Oreochromis niloticus: one gene and its partner. The protein of the gene in region 2 purifies or fractionates together with the protein of the main gene of each other region. This does not show direct contact. Links are inferred from orthologs where the notes say so. Each region holds a gene or a part of one and is shown on either strand. Other genes may lie near its edges.

Region 1 (8,204 bases), on a different chromosome or scaffold from region 2:
GCACGCCCCCCCCCCACTCAATGTGCAATATCACTGATCACACTGCACCTCTCAATGCACCTGCTAGTTAGATGGCATGTATGTGTATGTATATAGATGTAAGCGTGTATGTGGAAATATGTGTGTGTATGCATGTACAGATGCAAATATGTATATATACATATATGTATGTATGTGCGTGTATGTTTGCAGGTGTATGTATAACTTGTACATATCTTTCTTGTGTAAATGTAAATTTGTCTATTATTGTGTAATTACTTACGCTATTGTGTACTCCACACACATGGAGAGATGCCAAACTGCCTTTCACTGTTCTTGTAACAGTGACAATAAAAAGCTATTATAAGCAGCAGTAATTAGTGAAGTTATTGTTATTGTGCCATATGGGTAAATGTGTGGAATCCTCTAGGTTTGAGGGTCATACAGAAGACTTCTATAGGTAAACCTGTCAAGCTGTAGGTATTTAATGAACACACAGTGAAAACTAGAAACATCAGGAAGCACCAAACACCAGTCTCTTGGAAATGTTCTGTCCAAAGCCACAAAAACTATCTTTAGCATGCTCTAAAGTTCATAGACTCATGTTGCTGCTGAAGTGTGGTAAAAGTCTTCGGTCCTGTGTGCAGAAAAATAAAAAAATACTGGAAGCTGCCAGTGCTACCCCTCAGCCTCCTAGTAAATACACCTAAAATATCAACTTAAAATTCCTACATTGCTTGTTTCTCTGCATTTACAGACTTGTGTATTCACGCCACCTGCCTGCCCACCTGGCGGGGTGACGACAGTACCCCATCAACCTTTTACAGCTGACAGGTAAAAACTGTTTAAGGTGACTTTCCATGAAGGAGGTGCTTTAAGGCTTCTTCCTATTTGGCATGATATTTTGATTTTTGCAAAGCACAAGACTGTAGGTGAAACTGTCACATGCCGAAGAACTGGATTATCAAGCCTCTGGGCGTTTGATAAACAAATTAGCCACATTTTGTCATGCAGCAAGCTAACATTAGGATTTTCCATCCGTTGTGGGGACCCTGACATCAAAAATAAAGCCGATCCACTGTGTCCTCAGATTCAGAGCATGCATAAAGACTCCTGTGTTTACTCTTTTGCTGCCAACAACAGAAAATTTGGCGTGCTTTTCTTGTGACTGGGACATTTTAGAGTGAGAGAAGTGGCTCAAAAAAGGGTGGACTGCTCATACTTTGGTTTGAGGGCATATAAAATAGCCACAAGGTAGGCATCATGAAAATGTGACATAGAGAACTCAAAGGAGAAAAGCATGGGGTTCAAATGAGACTTTTGACCTAGCTCAGCATCAGTGTTGTTTGTGGGAGAGAAAAACTCCCTTTGGGAACTTTAGCTACATGTACTTACATGAACAAAAAAGCTTTTTACACATAAACATTTACAGACATCTAAACACAGCATAAAAGTCTGTGAGGTTACATTTATTACAACACTTAATATTTAATGTTGTCTACTAAACACAGTGTGTGAACTTGGACCTCTAGTCCTGCAAGCTACCGATATCTAAGTGTAAGCAATAAATAGTTTGTTAGATTGTTGCATAAGTGCAAACTAATGTAGAGCGCGTCTTTCACTGTGTGCTCGTTTTGTGCAGTGAAATCGAAAGTATGACATGTAGCCTGCACATGTCTTCCTTCAAAGCTACAACTGATGTAGCATGTAAAAAGTGAGCTGCACAGGTAAGTCGCCTGCTCAGTGGTACACTTACTGCTTGAGTGATTTGGCTTTTCACTGGCTCGCTCAAAAGTCCCTCAAAAACAAACGAGTCTCCAAATTTCTCTGCCTAAAAATCAGAAAAGACAGATTTTATGGGCAAAAAACAACACCAGGATAGTGAAAACCACTCACAGAAAAATATGGTTTAATTTTTAAATATTTTTTAACACCTCAGTCACATATCCTGTCGCAAGGACGAAGCTCTGAAACTGTTGGTTAGTGACTTCATGGATGTCCATGTTGAAGGAGTCCACATACACGAGTCTCTGGGGGCCCTCGCCGTCTGGGGGGATGCCTGGGTTGTCTGTTCCCATCAGGAACTCCCCTCCAGAAATCTGCACCATCTGCACAGAACAAGTACATTTTTTATTTACATATGCAAACAAACTGTGCTATAAACTGGAATGTAGATTCAGGATTAATAACTCTTACAAGATCATAACAACCAATAAAGAACACAATAAAACAATGAAGATCTATAATATATCTAGTAATAATCTAAGGTATTAGCCACCTACAAATAATAGAAATAACAGTAGAAATAAAAAATATGACACCAGAGTGCCACAAACGTGCAGCCTTAAGAGGGTAACTTACAGGAAACAAAGGCTAGGCTGTCACACTTCCTGCTTCTGCATTCAAGTCATATTTACAGCACATGGTGTTATGGTTTATTTAAACACACAACTAAAATTAGCACATATGTGGACACAATTTTGCAACCATTGGTTTTGGTGTTAATCGACAGATCTGTGTTGCAGCTGATTGGCTACAAGGCCTTGCTTATGCATGGGAACCTCAGGAGGCCTAATAGTTCCAAGAACGATTAGATTCGACTTTGGTAACTACTTTATGACATTTTGCACGCATAACCTTATCTCCACACTCTCACAAAATAGCGGTGTTTTTCTGTAACAGGAGTCGCAACATACCGGACTTTGTGTTTCCCGCTCATCGTCCTGCACCTGATTCGTCCTGTCATTTGCGTCTTTGGAGTATTTGAGAGCAGGGTCTGTGGAAGCTGCTTTACCCTCATCCTCGTCCAAGGGGTCCACAGCTGGAGCGTCTCTAGTCAGCTTATCACAGCCGCAGCCCGCCCCTCTTTCCACGCCTGGAGGTTCCTGCTCTGCGCTACATGAACTCTGAAGACACAACACTTTGCTCACACATCCAAATATGAACAATAGGGTGAAATAACGCAGCATTTTGATATTTTTTTTATTCCAAGGCACAGCCCAGGGTCCGTGCATGCTGTTGACACTGTTACTTCCGTAAAGTCACGTGGTCAGTCAGCTGGCTACAGTGTAACAAAACGTAACCCTTTCCTTCCCGAAGTGAATGTTTGCTGTGGAATAAATTCTGTTAATCCACAAAAACACTGCAAATTCTGATCATGGCTCGCAAATATAGCTACATTCGGTTGTGATGATATTAATAAAATCGCTTATTTGAAATACACTTCAATGACTTATTCGCCCAAAATCACACAGATTTTTGACCTTTCTGTTTTTTACATAAAAAAGACTTCTTCTTAGCCGTATAAATCTGGGCAGCGCAGTAGCAGTAGTGATAAAACAGCTCAGATTTTCTTAGCGGTAGGATGGGGCGACGTGGACATCATTTCCCAGCTATCAACACTACGGCCGCTTGAGAAGAAGTGGAAGTGAGCCAGGCAGTTCAACCAGCCAGTGCCTGCCTGCCTCAGTGAGCACAAGCTGCGGGAGCACCGAGAGGCGCGGAAAGGTGTCCGAGCTGTCAAAAAACTGGATTATTACAGTCGCTGACGCCTGGATCTCACCCCCCGACCCGGTGGAGAGGAGAACCGCAGTCATGTTGTCTTAGCTGGCCCAGAGAAAGCTAAATATCCGAGCACAGCCGAGGTAAAGTTGAGAGCATAACTTGAGCAGTTTGCCATCCTCCTCCTTTCATATCTCTATCTTCTCGCAGCGGAGAAGGGAAAAAAAGGATTTAGTTCTCCTTAAATGGTTAAAAAACCACTCAGAGCTCAAAAGCGGCGCTTTGTAGTGAATAATAATTTTTTTTAAAGAGAAGCCCAACAAGATTGTATCACGGTCGGATGGATCTTACGCCGATAATGATTTCGGGCTGCTGTGAAGCAATGTGATAGTGAGCCGCGATTACAATGCTAACGCTGGATGTGCTTTCTCAAGTTTCGCTGGCGCTTCGGTGCTTAGATGAAGAAGATCCGAGCTTTTGCTGTGTGATCGTTTGGTCGGGCTTGTAACAGACGGCGGTCGGAAAGCCACCAGAATAACTTGTTATGGGGCTTTATCGACCTCACTGAGAGGCAGTGCTTTAAAAAAAGAAAAAAGAAAAACACACAGGCAGATAACCTGAGTGGAGGGGACCTGCATTGCTCTCTATCAGCTTTTAGTGGCCATGACCTGTTGCAGGTGCATAAACCTTGTTGGCAGCTGCAGCTCCTAAACATATAAGGCGCAACACAACACCAGCGGGGCTACAGTAATAAACATTTTCTCTTCCTCTCTATGCAAATCCTTGCAGCCAGACAGTTGTGTTAGTGTAGTCTCCACCTAGGGAACCCGCTCTCTCAAACCTGCTTCTAACTTGGAACTATTAATTTGCGTATGGATACTGAATAAATGCATGATGGTATGTGTCCATGACAGGCATGTTATATCAAATGATCTAATAATATCCATATTTTCTCCCATACAGGTGCTCCCTTGTGTGCCAAACATGTCGGACAAAATGTCCAGTTTCCTACACATTGGGGACATCTGCTCCCTGTATGCAGAGGGATCAACCAATGGTTTCATCAGCACCCTAGGGTATGTCCCTGTGCCTGTGTGGAGGGCCCACTTCACACTTTTCTTAAAAAATGCTGCTCAGTCACGATACTGAGCCAGCAGTTTTTTTTGGAAGGGAGGAAATCACACTTGTAGTAGCAACTGTTAACCATTTTGATGACAAAGTCGAGAACAAGCACATTTCTTCCTTTTAGTCCGATGCCTGTGTATGCACATGTTTGCTTACACGCAGCGACAGGGTCATCATTTGGTCCCAGAATGGGATTAAGTAGTTAATGTAATTTTGTGCAACAAATATGCAGATAATGATAAAGTCTGGGGCAGGCCTGGGTTGTAAGGGTAGAGTTAGAAGACAATAAATGGTCTGGTGGTACTGTTGGCAAGCCACTCATTTGCCCACACAGTCACAGCATTAATGTATTGTTTTCCTCCATCAATTCTCCTTACTTGTAAAATGCGTGTTTTTGATATGGTCTATCTGTTGGGATTACTTATACTGGCTTACTGCTTGAAATGCTGGCCTTAGGATATGACAGAAATATCACAAGCGCAGTAAGATTCAGTTGTGCTGCTTTAACCTCTCCCCTTTGTTCTGAATGTAAACAAAGCAACAAGAGAAAGTTTGCATTAATGTTTTTGCTTGTATAAACCACCCGGAAATCACAAGACGGTAAACCATGGCGTTTAGCATTAGTAATGGTATCAGGGCTATCTGCTCAGTGTCCTGGACCTCCCCTCCTGGCTCATGAAAAATGGAATGACCCACAGCGAAGACTGAGTCACTATAGAGACATTGTGGCCTTTCTGGAGTTCATGTGCTTCCCACATAAACACACACGCACATGCACACGCACACGCACACGCTAGCACATGTATTTAGAAAATTGTCATGACAGTTTTGGCCTGAAGCCATCCTCTCCACGCATAAACACCAACTCAGCAGCATTCTCCAGATCAACTGCCCTTAAAGTAAGACACCATACTCAGAAAATTCTGTACATATTAACACTTTTTCTTCACCCAAATAGCAGTCCAAGTCGGCAGCTGCAGAGGGGAGGGGGTTATATGAGCAAATGAAAGGCTACATTTTTCTCTTTCCCTTTTTTTTTTTTTTTTTTTTTTGAAAATGCTGCTGTGTGCAGTGAGTATTTAGCAGGACCCGTCTTGTTTGTGCAGAGGTGTAACTATTAAACTTGTGTTAATAACTGACCAATGTGAAAGTCAAGTTGCGTAAAGCAGCAACACATGCTCATACTACCCACAGGTGGGTGACAAATTAAAGACGACCCCCCCATCTTAAATGCAGTAAGGAGTTTTGATGCCAGATTAACTTCAGCAGAGCTTAGCACTGATTCAGTAAGACTCCACCATGTTTCCAAAAGATACTCCCTCATTTTGTGTTTTGACAATGCTGGTGGTGAAAACTGACTAACATGTTGATCCAAAGGCTAATTCTGGTAGTAAATTAGGTTTAGATCTGGTGACTGCAAAGGTCAGCGCATGTGATTCATGTTATTTTCAGCAACAACTTTGTGTCGATTTGCATTCAGTATTCCTTCTAAGGGGTCAGGGAGATTAGAGCTTCCACAGTATAATGGAGCAATCGAATGCCCTCACTGTAGAGGTGAAAAGTTTTTCCTTTAATTTGTCACTCTGCTGTTATTTGTCCTAACACGCACAGATATTTTCGCCCTTTGTAGTCTGTCTTGTTCCTCGAGATGTGCAGGCTGATGGAACAGTGAGATCTGTTTGGGCAACTTCAGAAGGCTGAAAGTGGATGTGGGATTTGGCCTGTGTCCAGACAAGTGTTATTCTAAGCCAGTGAAAGCTAAATTTGTCACCAGAAATTCCTGTCTGGCCACTGGTCATTTAATCCAGAATATTTCCTTATTTTGTGGAAGGGGAGGCTAAAACATGCTGCAACTATGTAAAGCTCCCAGATAATTCATGAAACAAAAGTAGAGTTTTGCAGGCACATGCACAGGCACATGCACGGGCTTTTGTTGGAAATGCTTTTTTGCCTGAGTCTCACACACACAGAAAGCTTAAACACAAACCCACAGGAATGATGAATTGCAGTGACTCTGATATCCAAGAACAATGACAATCTTAGTACCTCTGCAGAAATGTTGACCAATTTTGCTGAGTTGTAGTTCTGAAAATGTGGTGTTGATCAATTTGACTGTCTCAGTATTATGAACTCTTTGTTCCTCCTGGCCTTTTGCAATGATTTTTCCAATCAGTGCTGTCCTGTAAAATTATTAATCAAACACACTCAACTGATGCAGTGTTTTTGAAATTAGGTTGCAACTGGCACTTTTTCTTTTTAAATTAAGCAGTGTCTAAATATTTTTTGTACCAATTGATTCATTTTGCGCTCTAGAAATATCACAAACATCAAAATGGCTTAATTGCAGATAATTTAATTTTTGTTAAAATGGTCCAAACTTCATAAACATTCAGCTCACTATAATAGAAGAATAAGAAAATGACTGCATATTTATTGGAGTCTTGTTTAAAAAAACAACTTTAAACGTGAACTTAACTATTCCTCATTGCTGCTATGGTTGTTATGCTTGGGGCTTTGTCAGCTTTGTCATGGTAACTTGGGATATGATCTTATTATATGTATAGCGCTTACATGTGTCATGTGTCCATATTTACAGCCTGGTGGATGACCGCTGCGTCGTCCAGCCCGATGCTGGGGACCTCAACAACCCGCCGAAGAAGTTCAGAGGTAAGAGGAGCAAATTAATCTCCCCTCTTCCTCGTGACACTCCTCCTCATAGCACTAACTGCTATCTGTTTATACTGTGAAGCATGTAAGACCTGCTGCTGAATGTGTTATGCTGTGTTTCTTTGGTGACAGCCACAATATCTCAATATCTCAGCCCACTGGACTTCAAACAGGCCTGCCTTTGTCATTGTTAACCGTGTGTGTGTGTGTGTTATGCATCCATGTATGCATTTATTAGCTGTGTGCCCTAGCTCGCACAGGTCTGTGGAGGTAGAGGCAGATGGAGAGAGTCATCTCTGCTGCTGATTTGTTGAAAAAAAACACCCACTTGAGAATCTGTTTTCTAAATAAAAATCCTTCAGCTGTGTCTTTGCGTGAATTTGCTATTATTAGTTCTCATACAGGAAGTAGAACTCGTGACCTACAGTTCTCAGGCTAGAGGTTTATGTCCCTTGGGGAGGGCTGGCTAAACATTGTACACAGAATATGATTGAAGGCCTGTGCAGTCACAGGCACTGGTACACATTCATAAGAAAAGTGCACTTTAGCTTGCTGCTGCTGGATGAAATAAAAAAAAATGTAATACAGCTAGACCGTTGGTAGAGCTTCAACCGCATATACAGATTTTAATTTTAATTTAATTTAAGTTTTTTAAGGGAGAAATGTAGTCGTCCTTGGTTCTTTGTTTTCCTTGGCAATTCAAAGTAATTTTATCGGCCATTTCTATAAAAGCGTAAAAAAAGAAAGTGATTACAGCCTTTCAGCATTGTACTTTTTGAGCATATAAGACATATGAGTACTTATCCATTTGAATTATTATATTTGTCTTTTAGTTCTTAACTTTCCCATTTCGAGTATATAATACAGATGCATTTGCAGCTGTGAGAATAGGGCCAAACACTGTCTTGGGGATCATAAAACATTCATTAGAC
Region 2 (7,907 bases):
AGTCTGGAGAAGTTGCAGAGAATGTAATGCTGCCTGGAATGGTGTTCAGCATGACCAGTTTGGTGATGGTTCTGTGATGGTCTGGGGAAGCATATTTATGCAGGGATGCAGAGACTTCTACAGGCTAGGCAACGGCACACGCAGTTCAATGGCACAGTGGTTCCTGGGTTTCTCCAGTTGCACGACAAAGCCTGGCTTCATGTGGCGAGAGTATGCATGCACTTCCTGAAGTAACTGATGCCACCGACTGGGCCCCTTGTTTGCCTGACCTAAATCCAATAGAACAACTCTGGTATGTTATGTTTTAAGCTATCTGATGCTGCCAGGTTACACCTCAGACCATCTATGAGCTCAGTGATGTCCGGGTCCAGATCTGGAGATCAGGAAATTCCCCATGATACCATCTACCATCTCAGTAGGAGCATGCCCCGACACTGTCAGGCATGTATACAACAATGTCAGCCGCTGCAATGAAATTTCAGCAAAATGGACTAGCCTGCTTTGATTTTTATAGCCTTTTTCTTTTTAAAACAGTAAAATAATGACATAAAACAGATAGATTAAAGTAGAAACTGGGATTTCTCTGACCTTTACTTGGTCTGGTGTGTAATACTGTGGTGTCCAGTCAGGGATTCTACCCATCTCCTTTTCACCATTCCCAAACTTCTCACAGAAAGCTCCGTATTGGGGCTGCGAGTGTCCACATCGATGAGTATCATGGAAGGCAACATAAAGGAAAAATGGCCTCTCTTCACTCTTTATATTCTCCCGGTTACTTTCTTCTGCTTTTTCCCCGTTCTTTCGTTGAAAGGCTTCCTCTTTGTGAGTCTGGAAAAACTTGCGGACCAGGAGTTTAATGCGAGTGATGTTCCTCCCCACCTGGAGGACAGAGCTGTTTTCCTCTGTGTAGGCAAAGTCAAAGGGGTAAACAGATCCAGGGCCAACATGCTTCTTTCCAATTATACCTGTGAAGAAAGAATCAGTGAGTTTAAAAAGTAAAAAATAAGAAAGATTTATTTATAGACATGAGAAAAACGGGTCATTTTGTTATCTACCTGTGTGTACGTTGGTTTGTTTGAGAAGCAGCGGCAGACTTTGTACTTCATCAAAAGAATTAAAGTGATGGACTCCTTGATGAAGTCCATAAATGCCATTCTGATGCTGGAAACCACAAGAGAAACACACCTCAATAATTCACATCGCTTTAATGAGAGGCATTCACAGGTGTGTGTGTCTCACCTGTGGCAGGCCGGTGAGGATGGCGGAGCGGCTGGGTGAGCAGCTGCTGACAGATGTGAAGGCGTTCTTGAACACCACGCTGCGCTGAGCCAGAGAGCGCAGGTGAGGCGTGTGGACCACAGAGTTGTTATAAACCTCTGTCTCGAAACCTGCATCATCAGCTGTGAGGAGGAGGAAAAGACAGAAACTGATGCGGGAGCTCAAACAAAATGCCCATAACTGACTTTTAATCATCTCTAAAATCTTTGGCATCTACATACTGCTTTGCAAAGTCAGTAGGGTAATGAAACCTGGCTTTAAGTCACAATTCCAGTTCTTCTCAGAAGTACAGGATGGGTTTAAGGTTGGGGTTTAGTGCAGAGGATTTAAGTAGGAAAAGTGTTTCTTGATGGATCAGGCTTCATGTAAAGAGACACTGACATTTTTCTTTTTCCCGGAGTATAGTTTTAATTTTTTTTCCAATTCTCTGGCATTTTCTGACAGATCATTTTAGATTAGTTTTACTTTAAACATATTCCTTTATAGAATATTTGTACGATAATAAAAATCTACTTGCATGAAGGTTAAAACATTCAGAAAAACATCCGGCTCAAGATTGTAACACACAAACCGACTTCTGCCTCATATTTAGTTTGTTTGGATTTGGTCAACTTAATTATTTTATGTTATGGAGAGAGGTTCTACTAATAAACAAAATAAAAGCAACTGCCTAAAACAGTTATAACCTCTATCATGCACTTTCAGTACTGTGCAAATCTTGTGCCTCTACTTATTTCTTTATACAGAGTTTATACAATCCAAAAAGTCAATATTTGGTATGACTATCCTTTTTCTTCAACACAGCCTGAACTGTCTTGGGCAAGCTTTCTTGTAATTCTTTTTGAGCAGTCTTCAGGAATCGTTCTCCAGGCTTCTTGAAGGACATTCAAAGCTGTTCTTTTGCACTGTTCCCTATCACTATAATGATAAAGTCTCTGGGGAGGCCAATCCATGACTGATGGTACTCCAGTATGTGTTTTTCTATCCAGGCATGCTTTCACTGCATTGTCAGTGCATTTGGGATCATTTGATCATCCTGAAATATTAAAGCTGTTTTTAGTAAGATGCTTTCTGCATCCATCTCTGTGTCCATCAGTTTTTATGATCCCCAGCTGCAGCCCCAAACCATGACAGAGCCTGCCCTGATACAGATAGCTGTAGACACTCGCTGTTGTACCTCTCTCCTGATCTTCTCTTTACATACTAACAATGATTTGAACCAACAATCTCAAATTTGGATTCATATGTGGATTCAATATGGAGAAAATACTGTTACTGCTGATTTTCAGTTCAATTCTTGTGTAATTTGGTGTACCTTAGCCTTTTCCCCATTTCGCTTTCATTAATCATTAATGCTGAAGATAGTTTTTTTTTTTTAAGCCTGCCACTTTTGAGTGGATTGAAAATGAGTGAACAAGCAGCCAATGTCCAATGAAAATCTTCGGGAACTATTGAACCTCAGTTATATAACGAATTAAAGGGTGGCTCGAGATTTTTGCACAGAATTGTAATGGCAACAGGAGGGTATATTTCAGCATTTTAAATTTCCAGCCATATAACAGAAAGGATTTATAGTTTCTCCAGGAGCACAAAAACGTGAACTCACCAATTATTAGAAGCACATTTCTTGTTTTGGACTCTCCGATGCAACATGATGCTAAAAAAATAAGACAGACAACCCGAGGGAGCATGTTGACCTCTTCCTCTATTTCTCCACAGAAAAATAAACTTTAAATATGAAAATAAAACTCGCTAAAGTTAGCACTTAAAGGCACCGTTGGAACGCCGTGAAACATGCTTCCTCAAACAACTCAAACCCCGCCCACTTGGAGTCACATGACACAAGTCACGTGAGGAGAAAAAGAAACAACAGGAAACGACTTGTCTCGCGCCTAGTCAGCGAAATGTTTTTGGGGAAGTGGGTTTAGCAGAAGGAACAGTAGAGAAAGACGTGAAAAATCACAGCCCAGCCAAGAGAAAGCATCACGCTGTGTAAGAATTTATGTTTTATTCTATTTTATTTAGTCTTTTCTACTTTATTTTGGTCTGTTCTGGTCTATTTTAGTCTATTTTGGTTCAGTTCGGTTAAACACTGTGGAGTTATTTTATATTATATGGTCAAATTTGTATTTTATTCTGTTTTGTTTCCATTCTGTAGTATACGAATTCAGTCTCTTTTGTGCATTCTTCTCTCTTGCACTCAAACACATCACTGTTTTTAGTTTGTTATCATTATTTTTTGATAATTACAAGGTTGTTATAGTCTGGGTAACATAGACTCATAATCAGACACAGTGGGAGATAAAGTATCAGTCTGAGGTCACGTAAGACTGTGGGCCTGTTGGACTTTCCTGATGAGGAAGTTTATAGTTTGAAGGTAAAGGTGACTTCATGAAAAAAAACATGTCCTGACTGTTCAGATACAGATATGCAAAGCACCCAGCTGTCATATGATCGTCATATGATTGTAAATGACACACAGTGAGCTTGTGAATGTTTTTTTTTTTTTTTGTGGCATGCAGATCACAGCATGCACCTGAAGATATGTCCTCGGCTTGAAGAAATGCAAACAAACAGGTCGACACCTGCTTGCATGAGCAGCATCTTTGTGGCGTTTTCCTGAATGCTGCATATCTCAGCAGGAGGTAGGAAATAAAAGGAAAAAACAGGAACCTGAGCAGCACCCAGCAAAGCTGAGGGGAGAACTCACGCTTTGTGTGAGTGGCTTTTGTTTTGTTCATTTTTATTTTTTTCTGCTACAGATGTCTCTTTGCTGAATTCCTCTCCCGCCGGTCTCAACCTCTAAGTGTGATGGAGCGGCGTCTCATGAGAAGACAGTCAGCCCGGCGCTGCTGTTCCTACAACACCTTGAAGGCCTGGTTGCCCATCCTCTCATGGCTGCCAAAGTACAACCTGAAGTGGCTAAAGATGGACGTCCTCGCGGGTCTCACTGTTGGATTGACGACTGTACCACAAGCGCTGGCTTATGCTGAAGTGGCCGGCCTTCCTGTGCAGGCGAGTCTTAGGCTTTCCTTTAGGGTTCACCTCCTTCTCGATAACTAATTTGGCTTTCCTCTTTTCCTGAGACATGAGCTTTAAGATGAAAAAAATAATTAGCTGCATAATTAGTTCAGACTTTATTTTCTTTTCTGTCCACAGTTCGGACTCTATTCGGCCTTCATGGGGGGGTTCATCTACACCTTTCTGGGAACCTCCAAGGATGTGACCCTGGGCCCCACGGCCATCATGTCCCTCTTATGCTCCTCTGTGGTGGGAGGGGAGCCTCACCGAGCCGTGCTGCTCAGCCTCCTCTGTGGACTCATCCAAGCTGTGATGGCGTTACTGAGATTAGGTGAAATGAGTGCTCCCGAGGTCATGTGGAAAGCTTGCGATTTCAGTTTTGGCTTTTCCTGAATTTATTCAAAAACTTGTGAACCACTGAAAGCAAAACAAAATATTTTTTCACAATAACACACATTTTTGTGTGAGTCTGAGAGCACTGGTAGTTTATCACATTCTCCAGTGTGTAAAATTTAAGGTGAAGTCCAAAAGTAAAAACAACATCACAAAAATCGAGCAACTATCATGTAGGAACTTAAATTTTAGAGGCAGACAGTCTACTATAAAATCTGTGGATCCTAAATAGTCATCTGTTCATCCATTTTATTAACCACATATCCAGTTCAGGGAGCTGGAGCCCCCTCACCGCTTTCATATGACATGACGCAGGATACACCCTGGACAGGGCTGACACACAGAGATAGTTAGCCATTCATGGTCACATTCACATCTAGGGCTACGTTCACACTGCAGGTCTTAATGCTCAATTCCGATTTTTTGATCAAATCCGATTTTTTTGTCTGCTTGTTCACACTACACATAAAATGCGACATCAAACGCTCTCTAGTGTGAACGCTCAAAGCGGCCCGCATGCGCAAAAGATGTCACACACAACTCGCTCTGTTTAGACCCAGAGCAAACAATATTGTTTGACTGATGGCCCTTAATATAAAGACTTCCGACTTTATGTTTCCAGATTTTTGCTTTAAGTTATTTTGTTATTTACATAATAATGTAGATAACCTAATAATGATCCTTTTTGCTGTTTTAGAGGAGCAGTGCTTCAAAGGATAGTTGCAGATTTCTGTCAGAATCTGCAGAAAATACAGTAAAAATAAAATGTTCACATTTCTCCAACATTGTCTTCCCAACAGTTTCACCGGATGGTAGGAAATCGTTCGCGATGTCCTATCGGGCGCTTCTCTATGGAGTTGATAATTGGCGTCTGTCTTGTGTCAGTGACGTAAAAGACGGATTTAATGCGACTTGACCGTTCACACAGCAGTCGCTTTCTAAAACATCGGATATGTATCGGATTCAGTACCACATATGAAAGTGACCCAGATCGGATTTGAAAATATCAGATTTGTGCTGTTCACACTGTCATACCAAGATCGGATACGGGTCGCATAGGGGCGAAAAAATCGGATTTGATGCGCTTTCGCCTGCAGTGTGAACGTAGCCTAGGTTAGGTTTGCCATTACCCGACCAAGCATGTCTTTGGACTGTGGGAGGAAGCTATAGTACCTGGAGCAAACTCCACAGGCACAAGGAGAACATGAGACAAGGTTCATGTTCTCCTTGGCCAGGACCCGATCCAAACTTAATTGTGCTGTGCTTATTTTTGAATGACTTACTAGTCTTGTGTCATTTTACGGTAAAACGGCAATGAATGGGCAGCCTACGAACATGAAAATAAGCTCCTTATCGAATAAGAATTTATATTTTTTTTCTTAAAGAGTTACTGTAATATTTGAAATCTGGAAGGTTATATAATGTCTTGGTCCTATAAATCATCCACTACTTTGCTTCTCTTCTGCAGGTTTCCTTCTGGACTTCATCTCTTTTCCTGTAATAAAAGGCTTCACATGTGCTGCTGCAGTAACTATTGGATTTGGCCAAGTCAAAGTAAGAGTGAAAACATGCACACACAGCAAAAACTAACACACATACATAGTTATCTCAGCATATACAACATATCAAACTGTATGCCTCAGTAGGGAAAAAGTCTTTAAAAGAATGAAAAGCTAAAAAGTGAGTCTTTATTAAAACAGAGCAGAAAGGAAAATATTATAGAAATAAACAGAAGCCAGGATGGAGATGAGACCAGAGAAAACAGGAAGGCATAACAGATGACATAACAAAGAGCAAGGGCCAAACTGAGGGTATAACTGCACCAAGGCAGATTAGGGGAATGTAGAACAGCTGGGCCAAATAAACACAGGTGTAAATAATTGACACAATGAGGCAGGGGAGAAAGTAAGACTAAACACAATGTAAAGGAGACAAAATGGTATCAAAATAAAACAGGAAGAGAGGCACAATAACTAAAAGGGAACTGCAGACAGAACTAGCCTAAACGTAGGGGAACTGGCATAGAAGGAAAAGGTAGGAAACAGTAATTTGAACTAAATGCTCAAGACTGAAATGCTAAGGAGTACACAAGGGTGAAAGTCTAAACCAAAACCAGCAAACTAAAGATAATGAAAAATAAACAGAATTCGAAAAGACCACAAAACACAAAACACTGGGTAAAAGACTCAGAAGCAGTGCAGAAAAATACATTGGAAGCACACAGAATTAAAAAAAATAATCTCTAGAATGATCACAACTAGCTTATTGGCATCTAAGAAAATAGAAAAGTCACCAGAAAGCACCACAATAATGATTTGAGCATTGGGTGGACCAGTGGTTAGTACTGTGCCTCTAAGCTAGAAGGTTGAGTGTTTGAATCCACCTGCTGGGTCCTTTCTGTGTGCAGTTTGCATGTTCTCCTTCTGCCTGCAAAACTCCTTATTGGTGTGTTTTTTACTAGCACAGGCTCTGATGTACATTCCCGCTCTGCTTCAGTCAGGTTCTTGTACTTCTCTGCGGTTTAGTCTCTTAATAAACACTTAAACACAGCAGTCTGCTCTCTACAAACTAAGCACATGGCTTTAATAAATATTTGAAAAGTCCTTGTTAAAACTCTATATTCTGCATCAGTGTTTTTTTATTAATGCAAGTTGAAATCTTTCAGGGCTCACAAACTCATACCTCTCATAAATGTCTGTTTATGTGAAAGCTGCACTTGCTTGCACAAGCATACATAAAATACAATAAAATTGATAGTTGCCTTCAAAATAAGGAAAAAAGTTGTGTTGTGGTTTCCCACAAAATCACACAAACACTAAGACACCCTATCAATCTCCCATTGACCTCATGCAGACAGGTCAAAGATGTGGCCAATGAGCACTATAATCTGTGTTGAGCTTTTACTGGTGGATTTGCATCATTCATTGCTTGTTGGTGAACTGATTAACAATAAATGTTTAGGTTATACTCAAAATTGTATTTTGAGTATAACCTAAACTTGACTGAGTGTGTAAACTCCAAAGAGAGAACTGCTCTTGCCCGCTCCTTTTCCATTCATAAAGTCAGTGGTTTTACCCACTCTTTCTTTTTTTCTAGAATATTCTGGGAATCCAGGGTGTCCCTCAGCAGTTTTTCCTGGAGGTTTACTACACCTTCCACAAGATCCCTGAGGCCAGGATCGGTGATGTGGTTCTTGGTCTGATTTGTCTCGCTCT

The links.
Region 1: the proteins of sgsh (region 2) and sumf1 purify together in Homo sapiens (co-immunoprecipitation; 3 studies listed by BioGRID and IntAct, with this or other methods). This does not show direct contact. The link is inferred for Oreochromis niloticus from reciprocal best matches to the Homo sapiens genes SGSH and SUMF1.

The regions. Positions count from the first base shown.
Region 1 is NC_031970.2:23,904,470-23,912,673, reverse strand, and holds the start of sumf1 (formylglycine-generating enzyme), read right to left. Parts: upstream 3,135-8,204; 5' UTR 2,994-3,134; coding exon 2,676-2,993; intron 2,088-2,675; coding exon 1,914-2,087; intron 1,811-1,913; coding exon 1,736-1,810; intron 1-1,735. Other genes in the region: inositol 1,4,5-trisphosphate receptor type 1, read left to right, coding at 4,465-4,556, 7,202-7,272.
Region 2 is NC_031971.2:32,474,892-32,482,798, reverse strand, and holds the start of sgsh (N-sulfoglucosamine sulfohydrolase), read right to left. Parts: upstream 3,110-7,907; 5' UTR 2,970-3,109; coding exon 2,885-2,969; intron 1,401-2,884; coding exon 1,240-1,400; intron 1,162-1,239; coding exon 1,056-1,161; intron 966-1,055; coding exon 589-965; intron 1-588. Other genes in the region: slc26a11 (sodium-independent sulfate anion transporter), read left to right, coding at 4,090-4,293, 4,438-4,630, 6,161-6,246, 7,789-7,907. UniProt on the Homo sapiens protein: Catalyzes a step in lysosomal heparan sulfate degradation.